Linked DNA regions of Danio rerio. The protein of the gene in region 1 binds, or shares a complex with, the protein of each later gene. Links are inferred from orthologs where the notes say so. Each region holds a gene or a part of one and is shown on either strand. Other genes may lie near its edges.

Region 1 (4,851 bases):
GTGTGTGTGTGTGCGTGTGTGTGTATGTGTGTGTGTATGTGTGTGTGTGTGTTTTGCCCTCATATTTCACTGACAAGCTTTGACAAATAAGTATGTTTAGATATTACAAGTGAGAGATTTTTGAATGAAGGTTGCATTGCTTGATTTTACAATAACTGAAGAACACACACTATCTATAATTATGTATTGATCATCAACACTGAAGATCTCAATTTAAAACACACATTACCTAAAACCAACAGTCAGTTTTCTGAAAATAAATAACTTGCACTTTTGAAAACAAAATAAATTATTTTCTGTGCTTTTCATATTAAAAGTATAAAACTAGCCATATCTCTTTTAAATAAAATAGCTCTTGTATATCCTGTAAATAATATTTTGAACAGCAATTGCATTTCTTGCATCTTTTGTAAACAAATATTTTAATGTAAACAATAGCTTAATGGAAAATATGCCGTCTCAAGGCATCTCTGGCGCAGCTTACAATCATTGCCAATGCAATGCAAAGTAAGGCTCAAAAATTACACAATATGACTGCAAACACTGTAATGAATTTAAAAAAAAAGGTAACTTTTTTTAAAATAACTAACCTTGAGCTTTGAGAATAGCAGCTTTTCCTCTACCGGCTCCTGCTCCTTGGTTTTTGTTTTTCATGCTCTTCAACATGGGGGCGTTTTTCAACATGTCAGGCAGAATGAGAAAGCGGATTTTGCTGCCACGGATGTAGACCTGCTCGAGCTGTGACACTCTGCCATCTCGATAGGTCACTGTAATGTTGGACATCTGATTCGCAGCACAACAGAAACGCAGTCAGTTGCATGACTCGAGACAACAGACATTAAAAGAATGCGATTTTAGTGGGATAAACTGTTCTTCAGTTCAGCAGTACCTGGCAGTTCATGTTATCCTCTGCTTCGATCAGTTTTCCCCTGTACACTTCACCTGTGTTTGTCTCACAGGTCACAATGTGACCCTCTGCTTCATGCAGGACTTTGATGGGTACGCCAATAGACATGTTTTGAACTGTGGGACAAAAAAAACAAAATTACCAAAAAAATATTATCTATACATCTATATATCTATCTATGTGTGTGTGTGTGTGTGTATATATATGTGTGTGTGTGTGTATGTGTGTGTGTGTGTGTGTGTGTGTGTGTGTATGTGTGTGTGTGTGTGTGTGTGTGTGTGTGTGTGTGGTGTATGTATGTATGTATGTGTATATATATATATATATATATATATATATATATATATATATATATATATATATATATATATATATATATATATAGACAACAGACACTGACCAATGGTTATAAAAGGGATAGTTCTTTCAAAGTGAAAATTTGCTGATAATTCAACCTCATCCCATCCACAATATTGACGACAACATGCACATCATTATGTCACCGGGAGACCTTAATGAAAAGGCTAAACATGTGCACAGGCTGGGGGTTTAAGGTAATACTGTACATAATGCTCAGTTTCTTCCACAGACTGATGCTGTAAATGCCCCCCAAACACAGTTGTTGTGTGTCCTATTTAATGCAAATGAGCTACTGCTTGTAAGAGGGTGGAGCATTTACAGCATGCGTCTCGTCTCGGGCACACAAACCCTTTCTTTGGGTTTATCCGATGACTGCTGCACTCATGTGACATTACAGTTCTTCATATTAAGGAGAGTTTGTTATTTGTTTGCATTTTTTACATTGTCAGGTCAAATTCCTGCTATACTATTTGTTGCCTGTGTACTAAACTTTTATTTAGCATCTTTACCCTCTTACTGCTCTAAATCTATCAAATAAAGTTTAGGATTTTTTCCATCTTACCAACCAAAACACACACGGAAATGCATTAAGATCAGTTCAGTGTATGTTTCTTTCAGATGAAACGGCTCAGACTTACATTTTAGTCAAACCTATTTTTGAGCAATGTTGCTCGGCAATATTGCAGAGTGATTCTGCTTAGCTACTTTCCTATTGATAATGGGTATCAAAATTGTATTTGGATCCTTCATTAGCTGTCCTGTGTCTTACTTGGTTTCTCAATGATAGCATCACTACAACATCTTCCAACAACCATGCTCAAAATTGTTCTGGTATCATCCCCTTAATGTCTTTGATATATATATATATATATATCAGTAAGCATGGGAGGAGCTCGTAACGTCACTGAATCTGAAGTAGACTGCTTCTGATTAATGAAGAATGTGTAAAAAGTGAGTGTATATTACCATTACAGCCTTTTTGCTTATACTGTCGAAATCAGAGTGTAGTTTTAACTCAAATATATAGTTATAACACATTTAACTTTAGCTTTTGACTGTATATGTTTTGTGAATATCAAAGGTTACCCTTTGACTTGGATTTTATTTATAAGAGCCAGGTTTAGTTTTATGAAACAAAAAATAACTCCCAAAGTCACCTCTTAAATAGAAAAAAATAATATGTCATATTTTTTGAGTAATTTAAAATAACCGACTCGTTAGAACGATTTATTATACCTTTTTTGCTTTTGATTCAATAAAATGAACCGACTCTTACGAATCATTCGTTTAAGAATCATGTTCTAAACATGTAACGTTAGCTGGAAAGAATCCACGCTAGAATATGAAACACCATAAAATCATTTGGCTACGGTACTTGTAAAAACTGACTTATAACGTTACTGAACTCAATAACAGGATGAAGCGATAGACATTAATGAATATCCAAGATTGATCTCTCAAACGAGTCGCGTGAATGCAAACAATGAATGACCGAAATATATGTTCCTCTACTAAATAATCGAAAAAGGACTGTATATTTTAGCACAGAACCACGCAAAATACCCCACGTAGTTATCAGGTTATAATCATAAAGCATTACAGTACCTTGAATCTGCAGATTCGTTGAAACACAGCAGCGGAACAACGTGAGCTTGTGCGACGTTTTCCCGCTCCCACAATGCACCTGAAAGCAAAAGCCCCGCCCTTTCCTGAAAACCAGTTGCATCCTGGGAGGTGAAGTCCGTATTAAAACTACGCAGCAAACATCTCAAGACTCGCACACAAGAGGGCAGCATCGAATTGTGCATTTTACTTAAAATAATTTAATTTAGTGTTTTAAATCTGAGTCAAATTAGTGTCACATTCATAATAAACAGTTAATCTAAGTAATTTGATTTAATTTTAAATATTCATATTGTAATTAGTTTGTTAAATCTATCTTTGAAATCCAATATATGAGAAGAACTGTAAATAAAATCGATAGAATGAACCTATTAAAACAGTTTTTTTTAAATATTGTATATTGTATTATATACAGCTATGATATAATATATAAGATGTTTATTTTACTTTTATTACAATTATTGAATTATTCACATTGTTAAAAACAATTGAATTTAATATAATGTCAATTTTATCTTTCAAATTAGTATAGCAATATTCATTCATTCATTCATTCATTCATTCATTCATTCATTCATTCACTTTCCTTCGGGTTAGTTCCTTTATTCATTAGGGGTCACCACAGCGGAATAAAACGCCAACTTATCGTACATATGTTTTACACAGGGGATGCCCTTTCAGCTGCAACCCAGTACTGGGAAACACCCAAACACACTCATCCACACTCAAACACTACGGCCAATTTAGTTTATTCAATTCACCTAGAGGAAACCCACACCAACACGTGGAGAACGTGCAAACTCCACACAGAAATGCCAACTGACCCAGCCAAAAATCATAATTTCATTATTTCATACATTAAAAATATATAAGTAATTACCATAATACACTGTAAAAAATTTGTTGCTGTTTTAAATTTTTAAGTTGAATCAATTTAATTTTAGTAATTTCAACTTACATCAATCAAACTGATTTAAAGGGGACTTTTTATGGCCCTTTTTACAAGATATAAAGTTTGTGAAATCTTTAAAAGTCTCTGATGTCGTTTTGGTTACTGTCGCTTTAAATTCAAATGATATTGTGTTCCCAGCCCTTTTTTAAAAAGGGGAGCCACAAATGCCTGTGTGTCAGCATAGTGGCAGATTCAAAAACAAGACTAATGTAATATGCTAATGAGGGACAGATTGTCACTACAAAGAGAGAATGTCAATCAAAGTTTTTCTGCAGACTAAAATTAATATATTTTTACCATTAGAAGGTGATTATATTTACAGACTGTTCCACACAACTGTTTAGACCTCTTATAAAGGGAATTTTTGCATAATAGGTCCCCATGAAGTTAAAATTGCTAACGTAAAAAAATTAACAAAAATGAACGCTGTTGTGATGTTTGGATCAAAAATATATATAAAATGGATCAAAAATATGCTGTTGAAGTCATAACTATTAGCCCCCCTTTGATTTTTTTTTCTTTTTTAAATATTTCCCAAATGATTTTTAACAGAGCAAAGAAATTTTCAAAGTATGTCTGATAATATTTTATCTTTTGGAGAAAGTCTTATTTTCTTTATTTCAGCTAGAATAAAAGCAGTTTTAAATTTTTTAAAAACAATTTTAAGGTCAAAATTATTAGCCACTTTAAGCTATATATATTTTTTGGATAGTCTACAAAACAAACCATCGTTATACAATAACTTGCCTAATTACCCTAACCTGCCAACATAATTAACCCAGTTAAGCCTTTAAATGTCACTTTAAGCTGTATAGAAGTGTCTTGAAAAATATCTAGTCAAATATTATTTACTGTCGTCATGGCAAAGATAAAATGATTCAGTTATTAGAAATGAGTTATGAAAACTATTATGTTTAGAAATGTGTTGAAAATATCTTCTCTCCGTTAAACAGAAAAAAAAAGCAGAGTAGCTAATAATTCTGGGGGGCTAATAATTATGACTTTAACT
Region 2 (4,894 bases), on another chromosome or scaffold:
CAAAGGCTGTGAATACTGATGAACATCTGATTTTTCAGGTTTTTTATTTTTAATAAATTTGCAACAATTATAAAAAACTCTTTGAAACTATTTTGAAAAAAAACTTTTTTTTTCACATTGTCATGATGGGGTATTGTGTGTAGAACTTTGAGGAAATAAATTAATTTCATAAATTTTGGAATAAGGCTGTAACATAAAGAAATGTGGAAAAAGTAAAGCGCTAAGAATACTTTCCTGATGCACTGTAATAGGTGAATCTTAAAATTGGGTTAACAATCCCAATATTGTTGAAAGTAATAAGAAAACTAACCTTGGTCATGGTGTTACGGATCAAATTGGCGGTAACATTTAACGAAGAATCTTCCATGTCCAACTTGGGCAGCTCTGGTAATTTTGGACCAATCAGAACCCCCGTTTTATCTGCTTCTTTCAAAAAGAAGGTTTGTTCATCTAGTTTCCTTTTTCTGCTCTCTAAATGTGTAGTCCTTGGCATAAATCTAATAGACGGAGTGGAAATCTTCTGTTTTTGCCTCAAATCTCCCTCTTTAACACCTGAAGATGAGGAAGACTCACTCTGCGTTGAGGTTTTTTGTACAGGAGGGATGAAATTATGCAGAGAGCCCATTTTATCCTCTGTCGTTTCATTGGTCCACTGTAATTGTGATGGCTGGGTAAAATGATTTTGAAGTCTATAAGAAATATCTGCTGTTGGAGGCAAAGGCAACAGAGGAAATCCCATATAGTCAGAATTTACGTTCTCCCTTCTGGCTTCTTCAGGGTTTTTCTGCATTTTAGGAGCTTCAGCTGTTCGTGTGTCTGTGCTTGATGATGACTCTGTGTTTACTTCCGCTTGCTGACTGTGTAGTTGTGCTGAAAACAAAATAAGCATATGATAGTTGTTAGACTTTCTACACATGCAATTTATTTAGAGAGAATACCAATGCATTACCATACCTGCATTTCGGCTTGCCCAGTTAACATATCTCCTTCTGTCTTGTAATTTCTGCTTTGTTTCCTCCACGGTTTCATACTCAGGAGCATAGCAGACATGCAGCTGACCCCCGAAGAAGCTCTTTTCATCTGTGTGCCTTTTAGCTGCCCTGTAAAAAAATAAATTAATTAATTAATTTAAAAAAAAAAAAAAATTATATATATATATATATATATATATATATATATATATATATATATATATATATATATATATATATATATATATATATAGCATGGCAATATCCACTCACTGGCCATTTTGCTAGGTACACCTGTCCAACTGCTCGTAAACACCAATTTCTATGCAGCCAATTACATGAAAGCAACTCAATTCATTTATGCATGTACATGGTCGAGACAATCTGCTCCAGTTCAAACATGAAAGCATGGATCCATCCTATCTGCTCAATGACATGCTATCATGTCAATATGGACCAAAATTAATGAGGAATATTTCCAGCTCCTTGTTAAATCCATGCCAGAAAGGATAAAAGCAGTTCTGAGGTCAAACCCGGTACTAGTAAGGTGTACCTAATAAAGTGGCCGGTGAGTGGATGTCATTCAGTGTAACAATAGTTTATAAGAAAAACAATTTTTGTCAGGCATATTTTTAAAAATCCCAGTACAGCTATTTTTACTTTGACACTATCCTAAAAATATATAGTTTTATTAAAATATAATTAAAATAACTACGATTACTTAATTCCATATATTTGAAATAATTATTCTTTGATTTTTGCTTTGGTTTAGAGGGGAAAAAATATGTAAAAAAGTATTTATAGAATTATCAGCAATAAATACTCTTTATAATATTCTTAAAATGTTTAATGGCAGTAAAGAGATTTACAGTGTTATTAAAGAGAAAGAGACACTAAAGAACATTAAAGAATCTTGAACAAAAAAAAAAAAAACCCTTAGATGTTTTGGATGTTAAGTTGTGCAACTTTACAACATTGATAATAATTAGAAATTATATACTGCACAACAAATCAGCAAATTAATTATTTCCGAAGAGTCATGTGACAATAACCATGTATAAATGCGAGTACCAAGCATGAAAATTACCCTTCATCCTCAACACAATACATTACACTTTTAAACAAGATAGAAAATGTGACAATGTAATAATACATCCGATTGTTGATGCTTTGTTTTTAGTTAAAAAAATATTAGCTGACTTGGTGAGCATAAGATGCTTCTTTCAAAATCATTTTCAAAATGGAAGACTCCAAACAATTGTATGGTAGTGTGTGTACTGTATATAGTTTTCTATATGTGTTTATTTAATATTTTAATAATGAATCATAATGTTTTAAGTCACATTTTGTGGAACCTACAAAGACAGTTCACTCCAAAATAAAAATAGACATCATTTACTCACCCGTTACATGTCACAAACATCGTCTGAGCTGAACACAAACGATATTTTAAAGAAAGCTTGAAGCCGGTAACCATTGACTTCAATACTATTTATTTGTCCTACTATGCAAGTTGATGGTTACTGGATTCCAGATTTCAAAATATCTTCCTTTGTGTTTCAAACCACTTGAGGGTGAATAAATTGTTATTGTTACAGTATTTGAGTCAACTATCCCTTTAACTAAAAGTGAATGCGACTCTGCAGTGCACCAACATGGTACATTGAGGTAAGGATGGTTTTAGATTCACACATTCTTTCAATGACAACTTGTGACATGCTCCCTATATTGTTTACCATGGTACTTTTAATATTGGGTTTGAAATCACATGCAAGTATGACTTCAAATCAGCATTACCACTATTTATTTGACTGTGAACAATGTTGAACTTTGATAGTCACTAGCTGCTAATTTGATTCACTATTAAGAATATGCAAAGAATACTTTTCTGAAATTATATCATCAACAAGAAAAATATGGCACAATATATAATATATGGCACAGACTCGCATGGGACATGATTTAATCAGCCTTTTCTTACCGTGCACTCGTCAACTTCTGGAACTGAATTAAGTAAACCTCAGTGAACTCTTCTGCTGGGTATTCATCCAGTGGCCTGTACTCCTCGATCACTCCATACAGAGCAAACAGCTGCACCAGCTCAGCCATCACTCCAATAGCGGGCACTCCTTGAACTAGTAAATACCGAGACTCCAGGTTGATGGTGTACACCTAAAATTAGCGATTCAGCCATTATTTTTATAAGCAGAGATTCAGTTCTTGTGAGAGAGACCTTAAAGACAACATGACTGCTTACATTGACGCTGCACAATTCGATGAGATAAAGGCATTTATAAAATAAACCGACCTTAACAGCTTTGAGGCGTCTTCCTTCTCTGTATTTTGGTCGCGTTTGGGCAACATTTTGCTGCTCGTGATGTTTATACACTTTTTGTGTGTCCCACACAGAGGAACTAGCAACTGACCCGTCCATCACTGTGGAAATCAGCGACGAAAAAAAACAGGCTTTCAAAATAAAAGTTCCAATTAGAAAAAATAAATAAAAGCCCGCTTTCCCAAAAGGATGCTAATAAAAATAATATTAAGAAGAATAATGATGATGGTGATAAAAAAATATTATAATGATAATGACGATGATAATTATAATAATAATTCATTTACACATCCAAATTATGATAAACACTTCTAACAAAATAAAATAAATATCAAAAAGATTTGGACAAAAGTCAAAATTGTAAGATGCTAACTCGCAGAAAATGTCGCAACTATTATAAATGCAGACGAATTAATTATAAACTATATTATAAATTTATTTTAAGTTTTTAACGTTTAAAACAAGCTTCTTTTTTTACCCATTTAAAGGGTTAGTTCACTCAAAACCGAAAATTCTGTCATTATTTACTAGGTTGTTGACTTGTTCCAAACCATTTTGATTTACTTTCTTCTTAACACAAATTAGGATTTTTAAAAATACATATAATACAAAACTTCCATATAATTATTTTCAGCATTCTTCAAAACATCTCTTGTGTTCAGCAGAATAAAGAAACTCAGAAAAGCTTGGAACCACCTGAACCTCTGAGTAAATAGTGAGCCCATTTGATTTTTTGGGGTGAACTCAATATATTACTATAAATTACTAGTAGGCCTATTTAATGTGGGAGATCATTATAAAAATTATTAGAAAATTAAGCAAATATATACTATTCAGTTGCTGGAGTAAAAGATTAACAGTGTTTTACATTTATTAAATGTAAAAAGATTTGTACATTACATTGATATAATGATGTAGGCTATTAGCCTATCCTGTACATTAGCTATATTTCATTCATTATGCATCCATTAAATAAATTAAACCTGTCCAAATTAGATCGTTTAAAATGTTTGAGCAAACGAGAATCTGCTATGTTGACTTTGTCAGATAAATAATGACTGATCATCTATGATGACTGATGGAAAACTGTTCAGTGTATTATATTGAATGGTGATTATTCCCCATTCGCCCGTCTTGATCGCTATATTTGTGAAATGGTATGCCTATGCATTATTGTTTACAGTGTTTGCCTATACAATACATATTAACAATAACCTTATGTGTAAAATATATTGATGATGTCCGAGAAGAGGTTAATAACATTAACACCCGTCTAACTTAGATCGTGTGTGCCTGAAACGTGTGTATATCTGCAGCTGGATAAGTTTTAACCCCAAAACACACACATATTAAATAAATGAATAACGTATACATACATTTTGCGGGGCTACTCATATTTCATTTAATAAATATTAATACTAACACACGGACATGTTTGCACAGTATTGCTACAAGATCATTACTGTAGTTGTAATTAAAACCCGGCTAATGACCAATCAGCAGCAAGGACTGGACATATCCGTTTTATAAAATGGTTTTATCATAGGCTGCTATTTCATAAGGTATGACAACAGATTCTTGACAGAAA
Region 3 (4,979 bases), on another chromosome or scaffold:
CCATTTTGATGCTCCGTTTGAACAGCAGCAGATCGTTTGGATAATTTCTATATGCCTAAATGCATTGGCTGTTGCTCAATATGCAATCTTTAGTGGTCTTGCGTCCTTGTAGTCATGTAATGTCATCATCAGCTGCCAAAGTTCAGTTCCAAAACTCAAGACTGCAAGAACAGAGGACTCGTGAAACTTCCCGAATGCGTTCTTGATATTGAGGATGCAGCGATGCAGACTTGAGCAACGATCTTGCTAGAATTCCCAGAAGTCATTGCGACTGGAGGTGGGAAGCGCCGCATTTTATTTAGATTTATTATTAAAGTTCAGAGATATCACTTATTTACCTCAGGAGTTTCCCTAAATGAAACGGTAAATATAAACATTACCATAGACATCTTAATAAAGGAATAAAGGCAATAAGGGTGTTTGTTTGCTGAAATTTGTATTAAAATCTGTTTTATTGATACTGTGCAACGTATATTTATAATGTTTTTATGCAGAGTATATATTTTGAAAAGGGGAAAAACAATAACTCATTGTATGAATGCTGTAATGTTTAAATTTTAAATTAAAACGAGTGAAGGTCACGTGACCATCAGGAAGAACGCAGCATCCCATTTCCCACTGGATGCGTTCCCTGTTCTCGTGGTCTCCCGAGTTTGTTCTTCCAAGGAAAACTGGCAAGACTGGTCTCCACAAGAACGCAAGTCCAATCTCTGCATTCTTGGAATTGAGAAACAGCCATTGAGTTGCTGCCATGTGATTGGCAGATTAGAAATTTGCCTTAACGAGCAGTTGGACAGGTGTACCTAATAAAGTGGCTTGTGAGTGTATATTGTACTGATAAAAGGAGTAAATATTATACACCGATGATGGCATATTTATAAAAATAATAATTATAATTCCCAAGTGCTGATTAGCAGAGAGATTGTTCCAGCACATTTTTAAACAAGTATTAATTACTAATTTCTTTTGTTTTTGCTATATTATTTTTAAAAGATACAAGCATTCAGCTTAAGGGTAATTAGCATTCATAAGCAATGATTATAAAGCATTCGTAATCAGGGAATCATTGGAGAACAGAGGTTTGTTCTGAAGCCAATCAAAAATGTAAATATTTCTTAAGGGGGCTAATAATATTAACTTTTGAGATTATTTTTAAAAGGTCAAAATTGCTTTACTTCCTTCCAAAGTAAAATAAATGTACATCTTCCAGAGGAAAAAAACATACATGACATATCGAGAAGATTTCCCAGTTTTCTGTTCAACAAAAAGAACTCACATTTTCACAGGAGGGCTAATAATATCGTCTTCTGCTATATTAAATAAATACTCATCACTTTATAATGAATTGCAGTTGAATATTGATTTATTGATTCAATGCATTGATTTAATTAAAGAATCCCAGTAGGGCTGGGCAATAAATTGAAGGCGATTTTTATGCGCATTTTGTCAGTTGTGAATTAGGATTTAGCTAACCTGAAAAGGTAGGATTGAGTTTTCATTTCAATTGATCAAGCAGCCCAGATTCCCAGCTCTAGTGTTATTGGTAAATCGGAGACTTTACTCACGATGATGCAACCCTCTATCCGCATGTTGACCTGTTCGTACAGCCACACCGAGATTCGGGAACGCTGCAAAGAAGCAGGAAAATTATTACCAACTGCTCATTTAGATTTTGTGCCAAGTGGTTTAAACAAAACAATTTTTAAAAAACATTGTATAAAAAAAAAAAAAAAAAAAAAAAAAAAAAATGCTGGATTGTCGGAACCCAAAATTGGGTCAAATATGGACAAAACCTTTTATCTAATGAAATTTAAATGTCACTTTTTAACCCAATGTTTGGGCGTGTCGATATTTGACCCTAAAATTATATTAAATTATATATATTAGATAATAGTTTAATTTCGAGTTTAATCATAATGGAGTAAACGGTTGGGTGAGTAAATAGTGAGTACATTTTAATCTTTAAGTAAACTGTCCCTATAAGGCTTGTGACTGTGTGAACATTTCAATATTTCAAATTTCAAAACATCCGGCCACAAGAAATGTTTTGTAACTCTAATAAAGATTAAATAATATACAGTGAAGACTCTGCAGTGTTGATTATCTGAAAACTATAATTATATTTTATCTTTACTATATTTTATTTATCTATGCTTGTAATTGATCTGTTATGTATTATTCAAGATTCACTCCTCTACAAAATTCCCCCAATCAATCCAAATATACCTGTTGAATCAAATAGGTAAAGTTGGTTTTATATTTACACATTCATTCATTTAGCACTGCAGTCTCTTTATTGTTTACCATGTTACCTTAAATATTCAGAATTAGCATGCACGTATGAGTTCTAAACAACATTAACACTATCTAATTCACTGTGAACAATGTACTTTGATAGTCATTTGCTGCTCATATGATTTCCCCATTTACAATTTGCAAAGAATACTTTTCTGTAATTATATTATTAAGGGGAAAGTCTGAATATCAGAATATAAAACCAACTTTACCTCTATTTAAATCACCAGGTGAAATAGTTTTCACATCGCAATATAGATCACAGAAATACAAAATATTGTAAAGTCAGATCTTTTCAATATCGCGCTAAATCAAGTGTACAGATATTTTTTCAACTAATTTCTCTGACTTTTCCAAAATTCTGTGGATTTCCCTGTTTTTACAAAACTTTTCCAGGCCTGCAAAATGCTGTGTCAAAATTCCATGACTTTTTCAGGTTTTCCATGACCTGTATTTTATTGAACGTGAAATTCAGAATGTGTGAATATAATTTAACAAACTTTACCTCAATGCTTACAATATTTTCATTTCTGAGAGAACTACCACTTTTGATATTTATCAAGACATCTATAAATCAGCAGGTATAACAGAATAAAGATTTTACTCTACAAAAATACAATAAACACATGAAAAAATAGACATATGTGGACAGATAAAAGCTTGTGTATGTCGCAGATTGAAAAACAAGTACTTACATTCTGTAGATACCTGAAAATAAGGTTCTGAAAGACTCGTTAAGGAAACAAATGACATATAAACACGATTCATAACCTTTTTCATTCATTTGTAACGCAGGGACACTGTTATAATCAGCTCAAACATTGCTAAAAGTATTTAGTATTCAAAATGTTAGCTAACACAACTTATATTACCTACAATAATATGCTAAACTATATTATATTATACAATAATATGTCAAAGTATATTACATTATACATATAACAGCACACATCCAACACATATCGGTACAATGGCGAGAGCTCAATGCAGCTATTTGGCCTGAAAGGATACGATGGGCTGCACCATGACCTTTTGAACCTTCTGTCCTTGTCCTCTGTACGCCATTCTTCTCAATAATATCCGGATGTTATTATAAAAAGTGACAAAATGTGATATTAAGTGTAATAGTTATTGGCGCGGCAACGAAAATCTCACGTTGGCTGCTGTTGTTTCAATGGCGGCGCAAATCCGGAAACAGAATGACGCAGATAAAATGGCGCGCTGATTCTATGTAATGCCTCCTGTGGCTTGGGGAGACACTACAGAAAGGCAGATTCACACAATTTTATATAATGCTTTATTTAAACTTTATATAATGCATACTACTATTAAAAGTTGTTAAGACGTTATGTGCAATAATAATACACCGGTTTCAAAGCAAAAAAAAAAAAAAAAACAGAAATGTGCGCACATCTAAAAATTTCAAAAGCAGGTGCTCGATCAGAAATAAACAAAGTAGCAAAAGATCAAAAGATAATCGGCATACTCCCACTTTAGCTCTCAAAAAGTCCTTTGATGACAAAAACTTTCGACCATGGTCTTTATACCGGTTTCAATCAGCATTTACCCTTAGAGTTTCATTTAAACGCTTTATTACATTAAAAAGTACAGCTATTCCATTTAATTTCTTATTAAATATACCAAGGCTCCGCTGATATTGAAATGTAATGCTATTGACGCATTAATAGATCATAGATATATGTAATAGATCACATTTGAAGCGTAGTTTTCGACGTAGTACACAAGGTGTGTGTGACGTACCGCGCAGGCTTTTGCACGGTCAGTGTGTCTGTTGTTGTTTAAAGAGACGCTCGGCGGTGAGTGATTTAGCCATTTTTATTACATTTATGATTATATTTCTGTTTATCTTTAAGAGTACACAATTCTAGTGAAAAACTGTTCATTTTAATACGACTTAACTGTATGTAAGCTGAGCTTTTGTAACGTAATGTGGCATGGCTATTAGCTAGCCTAGCTTATCTTGTTGTCAACATTGGCAATTATATTACTTAGCTCGATCTACATTTACTTAAGGGAGAAGAAAATAAGGTTAAAAATATTGAATTGACTAATTGTATATGTATATGTTGTTTTAGTTTCGCGTTAAACTCTATAGTTTATTGTTTAGTAGTTGTTTCTCAATAGCTCAGCACAATCCATTATCTGTAGTGACTCTTAAATATTTGTATTATTTAAAATATTGGAATATATTTGTTACCAACTTAGTATATTTCTCTCTTGTTTCGTTTGTGTATTTGATATATTATGTATTTATAATCTGTATAAATAATATATATTTTTTTAAATTGTCATTGAAAATCTGATGTTTTCTTTGTTTATTTTGTAAGTTATACTTTGTCCATCAAGAGGACATTTTCTGCGTACTCTGTGTACGTCTGTGTACTCACTTCAGCAAGTTCTGACACAATAAAAATAATTAAAAAAACAAACATGCTAGGAATTGCATACACAAACAAAAAACATATGCACACGGTCGATCTGTGTTGGGAATCAGAAAGAGTTTTATTTCCAGGTATGTTCACATATTTGAGAAATTTGGTTTCGTGACAGAGCTTGACTGTGCAACATTATTACAGAGACAGGACAAAAAAACAGACAATACATACATTTTAAAAACAGAAGTAGTGAATGCAAATATACAATATTATATATAAAATATTCTA
Region 4 (5,173 bases), on another chromosome or scaffold:
TATTTTGTTAGATAAGCTTCAGATTTGGCTGCAGTACTGACTAATCTAATGTATATGCACAAATATAATATTGTATAGCTTCCTATTAAAAATATGAATTTAATAGAGAGATTTGTGAGGGGTGTACTTATATATACTGAGCACTGTCGCAGAAAAACAAAATATCAGGCATAACTGTAGGGCACACTTAGAACAAGAATCACTGACTTGACGACTTATTTAAATTTCACAGTGCAGCCCAAAATAAAATACAGATTAATTGTAATATTTAATATTTCCATTTGGCAGAATGAGTTTTAAAAACTTGCCATATTTATGATCATTTTTAAATATTACAGACAGGGTTCATACACATTTTTACAACTAAAAAATTCCATGACTTTTCCATGACTTTCAAGTAAATTTTTATGACCTAATGTTCCATGCAATGTCTACATATAGAAAGTCTACAAAAGAAAAACAATAAGTGTTCAAATTTATTACGGCACTTTGTAAAACACACAACAATCTATTTAGTTTAAATTTATATTTCACTCATTCATTCATTTTCTTTTCGGCCAAGTCCCTTTATTAATCTGGGGTCGCCCACAGGAGAACATGCAAACTCCCAGAGAAATGCCAACTGACCCAGCAAAGGCTTGAACCAGCAACCTTCTTGCTGTAAGGCAATTGTGCTACCCACTGCACCACCGTGACGCCAAATTTATATTCATTTCTATGTAAAACTTATGTAGATAATGCTTACAACCACACTAATAATGTGAGAATGTGATTGGCCAAGGACAGAATAGAAGTCAAGACAACTAACCTATATTCTAACCTATAAGTATACAGATATCTGTTTTCCATAGGTGCGTCCCAAATCGCATACTTACGCACTATTCTACGCCATTTTGTAGTATAAATAGTGCAAGTAGTGTGTTCACACTGAAAACTCTATAAATAATAAGTGCATTTTAATACCAGGATGATGCACTCGTTCAACTATTACAATGAAGTGTGGAATGTTGGACACTTCACGCACTCAACAATCTCAGATTTGCTCACATAGCGGAAGGAGCATTGGTATAGGGTGCACATGTTGGATTACTTTATTTATTTTGAATTGTGAAAGCAAAATTATCCTACAAGAGTGATTATAGCGCCTCCCGAAGGTGAATGCGGTTATCCTTGCATATATTATCTGGTCCTTTGGTCATTTATTTTACTAATATGGCAACCATCAAACGTCATCAGGGAAATGGTTTGAATTTCCGTTTAGCAAAATAACAGTTAGTGTTCCATTTGGGACGACAATACATACATATACTATGCTGTTGAGTGTGTTAGTGCAGGGGTTCCCAAACTTTTCAGCCCGCGACCCCCAAAATGAGAATGCCAGTGACTCGTGACCCCCAATATTCTCTGAGGTGGTGGTTATAAATACAGAAACCTTGTATGCAATGACGCACACACACCAATAGACCCAAGTCTATTCTTTGTTTTTTTTATGTATGTCAGTGCTGTAAATGGGTTAGAAAGTTTAACCTGGTGTTCCAAAATCTGCTGCATCTGACAGTATTGCTGTGTCTTTAGTATAATGTAATTACTCAAGAAGACGCAATCCAATAGAACTAGTAACTATAAGCTACTATAGTAACTATATAGTTTATAGTAACTATAAACAACTATTTTTTTCTCATCAGTAGGTTATTGATAAAATACAGTTAGTCTTAAGGTTTAATAAAAATTAATTGATTTTTGAAAATCAACAGGCAACCCCCATTCATTGTCCCGCGACCCCTCGGGGGGTCCCGACCCCCACTTTGAGAACCTCTGTGTTAGTGCATAAGTACATAGTGCTTAATGTATAGCGTGCCATTTGGGACGCAGCTCATGACTTTTACAAAACTTTGTGGGTTTTCCTTTTTTTCCAGGCCTGGAAAATGTCAAGTCAAAATTCAATGATTTTTCTAGGTTTTCCATGACCGTATGAACCCTGTACAGTGCTCAGCATAAATGAGTATAACCTCCTTTTGAAAATGTATATTTTTATCCACGTCTTAGAAAATACAGCCAATAATCTTGGTGCATTTAAACAAAATATTTTTATCCATTAAAATAAAAGTTTGGATACCTAGTGCCTTTAACAATAAAAAGATAATATATTTAAATTCAAACAAGTTATTGCAATATATATATATTTATACAACAGTTGTCTGGTTCTTGAATCTGATTGGCTAATAGCCGTGATATATTTAAGTAATTTCAGCACCAGTAAAGCCTCTTTACCTCTTTTTTTTGTGTATTACTCCGCCCACATACAACCAGCAAAAAAGCAGACACTACAGATCTAAAGTTTAAAAGATGCTTGCTCAGCTGTTTAGCTATCAGCTTATGATTTGAATCCAAGGTGGAAGAAAGTAGTTCCTCATACAAAAGGGTTTTTGAGAATCTCCATGTTTGATTTTGTTTTTATATACACAATTATGCCGTTAAACTGTTGTATAAACGCAATATCACACTCGTAGCAGTGCGATATGGCTGTATATCGGCACTGGCGGGGGCACTAAGGCACTCGGCCTCATGCCAACGCACATCTCCCACCAGATATACAGCCATATCACACTGCTATATATATATATATATATATATATATATATATATATATATATATATATATATATATATATATATATATATATATAGACCCACTAGAAAAATGACAACTGTTTTGTGTTTTATTATTTTTTTATTGAATAATTTTCCCAAACATAATTGTTACTGACTATATGCATAAATATATTTACGCTAAATGATATAACACTATTTCTATTTCACCAATATGTGAAATTATATTCAAATAGACACTTTTCTTGCATTTCAAATGTTTTCTATGTAACTTATAAGTTATATTTAATTTGATAAAGAAACAAAAATGGTACGTCCTACAGTCCCAAAAGCTTGACATGACTTGAAGTAACGTTACATCAGGTTAACGCAAATACCTGCTTTCTTCCCTCCATAAAACTGGGTGTATTCTGTAGATGTAATGTACCTGAAAAACAGAGTATTGAATAAATCATTTGAAAGCTGTATAAAGAGTATAACGTCGTCATTTACATATTTGCATTCTTTAGATAATTCATGTTACGTCGCTGAATCTAATACATGAACATTAATCAAAATGCCGTCGTTGCAGCTGAATGAAGAACGACTTACTGTCCCAAAATTAAAATTAAAACATTACAAACCCTAAATAATACAAACAACGCAAACAGTTAAAGAAGCGTACTCAGTTTTCAGTGAAATAATAAAATTCAACCGTTAGCAAACGTGTCATATTTCACTCCAGCAACTCACATCTTGTCTTTTTGATGCTGTCTTTTCCCCATTTTTGCGACCTAAGCGGTGGTGCTAAATAAAAGAATTAAAATTCAGGAGTTTATAAACAAGCAACACAAACGCACGACTGTTTAAATACTCTACTTCCGGTGTGTCCTAGGCGCGACCGGTAAATGCAACCGACCTAAAACAACAAAATGTTTTTTGGTCCTCTTCGGTTTTGACTGAGATACTGTTCATAAAATTCGTTTTTTAATTACTGTAAATTATGTCTATGCTCAACTTGGGATGTCTGAATAATACTCAATAATGAGGGGGATATTTAAAGTGTTTGATGTTTGTTGATCACAAAATAAAAAAAACATGAAACCTATGAATTCATTCATTCATTCATTTTCTTTTCGGCTTAACTTAGTCCCTTTATTAATCAGGGGTCACCACAACGGAATGACCCGCTAACTTAACCAGCATATGTTTACGTATGTTGTATCCTTTCAGCTGCAACCCAGTACTGGCAAACATCCATACACACTCATTCACACACACTCACACTGCGGCCAATTTAGTTTATTCAATTCACCTATAGCTATGTCTTTGGACTGTGGGGGAAACCGGAGCACCTGGAGGAAACCCACACCAACATGAGGAGTACATGCAAATGCCACAAACGTCAACTCGAACCAGCGACCCTTTTGCTGTGATGCAACAGAGCTACCAACTGCGCCACCGCGCGGCCTACATATAAACTAATTCATTTCATCTATCCCGTGAAACAAGTTGTTAAAAACGTTTTAGACATGCAATCTGCATGTTCTTTTTGTGAATTAGAGGAATTGCTGAAACACCTGAATACTCATTGAATGCACATATTCCCAAATGTTTTGGTTTGATGTTAAATATGTTATATTTAAACGTACAAAATTAAAAATGCAGTTTTCTTGTAAAGATGTTTTTGACATACAATAATAATAATAAAACTTTGGAGCAAATTTTGTTTATTAATTTAATGATTATACAGTGCTCAACATATAGGCTACACCCCTCACAAATCACTCTATTAAATTCATATTTTTAATAGGAAGCTATATAATATTATATTTGTGCATATACATTAGATTAGTCAGTACTGAAGCCAAATCTGGAGCTTATCTAAATAACTTATGATGACGGTCAAAAAACCGAGTACAGTCAAATGTATATGTTAGAGAAAAATATTAAATATAAGTTTAAAAAAGAGGAAAAATCAAGAGAAGCAAAAAAATAAAATGAAAAATTTAGTTGAAATTTTGTAAGTTGTACATTTTTCACAATATTTTGCTTGAATTTAATTGTATTATTTTTCAATTTTTAAATATGTTTGGTGACCAAAATATTTTTTTAATAAATATATCTGTTTAATAACTCTGTTTTGTTTAAATGCACCAACATACATTTCCTATATTCACTAAGAAATGGAGAAAAATATTCATTTTCAAAATGGGGTGTACTCTATTATGCACAAACAAAAGTGGTCCATTGATAAACCTAACATTTATTTGTTTAAAATTCATCTTACGCATTATTTTGAAAACCTAAAATACTTTAATAATTAAAAAAACTATAAGGATGTATGCAATTTTGGAATCAATTTCCTATACAAATTTATTGTAATTTATATGTTCCCTATATATTTTTTTTATTTATTTAATTTTTATTCTCTATTGATTTGTTCATTTGATGTAAAAAAAATTGAAGTACTGTCCCAGCAAGCATTTTTTGTTTTTAACAGATGCCTAATAGAAGTCTAAAGTTATCTTTAATAAAACAAGACTAAATTCAGGTTGTCACTGGAAATCTAATAGACATTTAA

The links.
Region 2: snrpd3l (region 1) and rbm48 share a complex: the UniProt entries of both Homo sapiens proteins name them as parts of the minor spliceosome. The link is inferred for Danio rerio from reciprocal best matches to the Homo sapiens genes SNRPD3 and RBM48.
Region 3: snrpd3l (region 1) and snrpe share a complex: the UniProt entries of both Homo sapiens proteins name them as parts of the U7 snRNP complex. The link is inferred for Danio rerio from reciprocal best matches to the Homo sapiens genes SNRPD3 and SNRPE.
Region 4: snrpd3l (region 1) and ppil2 share a complex: the UniProt entries of both Homo sapiens proteins name them as parts of the minor spliceosome. The link is inferred for Danio rerio from reciprocal best matches to the Homo sapiens genes SNRPD3 and PPIL2.

What each region holds. Positions count from the first base shown.
Region 1 is NC_133196.1:14,699,664-14,704,514, reverse strand, and holds the start of snrpd3l (small nuclear ribonucleoprotein D3 polypeptide, like), read right to left. Parts: upstream 2,990-4,851; 5' UTR 2,873-2,989; intron 1,024-2,872; 5' UTR 1,016-1,023; coding exon 890-1,015; intron 784-889; coding exon 591-783; intron 1-590. UniProt on the Homo sapiens protein: Plays a role in pre-mRNA splicing as a core component of the spliceosomal U1, U2, U4 and U5 small nuclear ribonucleoproteins (snRNPs), the building blocks of the spliceosome.
Region 2 is NC_133194.1:42,804,462-42,809,355, reverse strand, and holds the start of rbm48 (RNA-binding protein 48), read right to left. Parts: upstream 3,483-4,894; 5' UTR 3,406-3,482; coding exon 3,280-3,405; intron 3,144-3,279; coding exon 2,953-3,143; intron 1,101-2,952; coding exon 955-1,100; intron 871-954; coding exon 311-870; intron 1-310. UniProt on the Homo sapiens protein: As a component of the minor spliceosome, involved in the splicing of U12-type introns in pre-mRNAs.
Region 3 is NC_133186.1:40,122,687-40,127,665, reverse strand, and holds the start of snrpe (small nuclear ribonucleoprotein E), read right to left. Parts: upstream 3,483-4,979; 5' UTR 3,361-3,482; coding exon 3,307-3,360; intron 3,018-3,306; coding exon 2,991-3,017; intron 1,629-2,990; coding exon 1,566-1,628; intron 1-1,565. UniProt on the Homo sapiens protein: Plays a role in pre-mRNA splicing as a core component of the spliceosomal U1, U2, U4 and U5 small nuclear ribonucleoproteins (snRNPs), the building blocks of the spliceosome.
Region 4 is NC_133180.1:13,584,372-13,589,544, reverse strand, and holds the start of ppil2 (RING-type E3 ubiquitin-protein ligase PPIL2), read right to left. Parts: upstream 3,483-5,173; 5' UTR 3,375-3,482; coding exon 3,343-3,374; intron 3,038-3,342; coding exon 2,988-3,037; intron 1-2,987. UniProt on the Homo sapiens protein: Has a ubiquitin-protein ligase activity acting as an E3 ubiquitin protein ligase or as an ubiquitin-ubiquitin ligase promoting elongation of ubiquitin chains on substrates.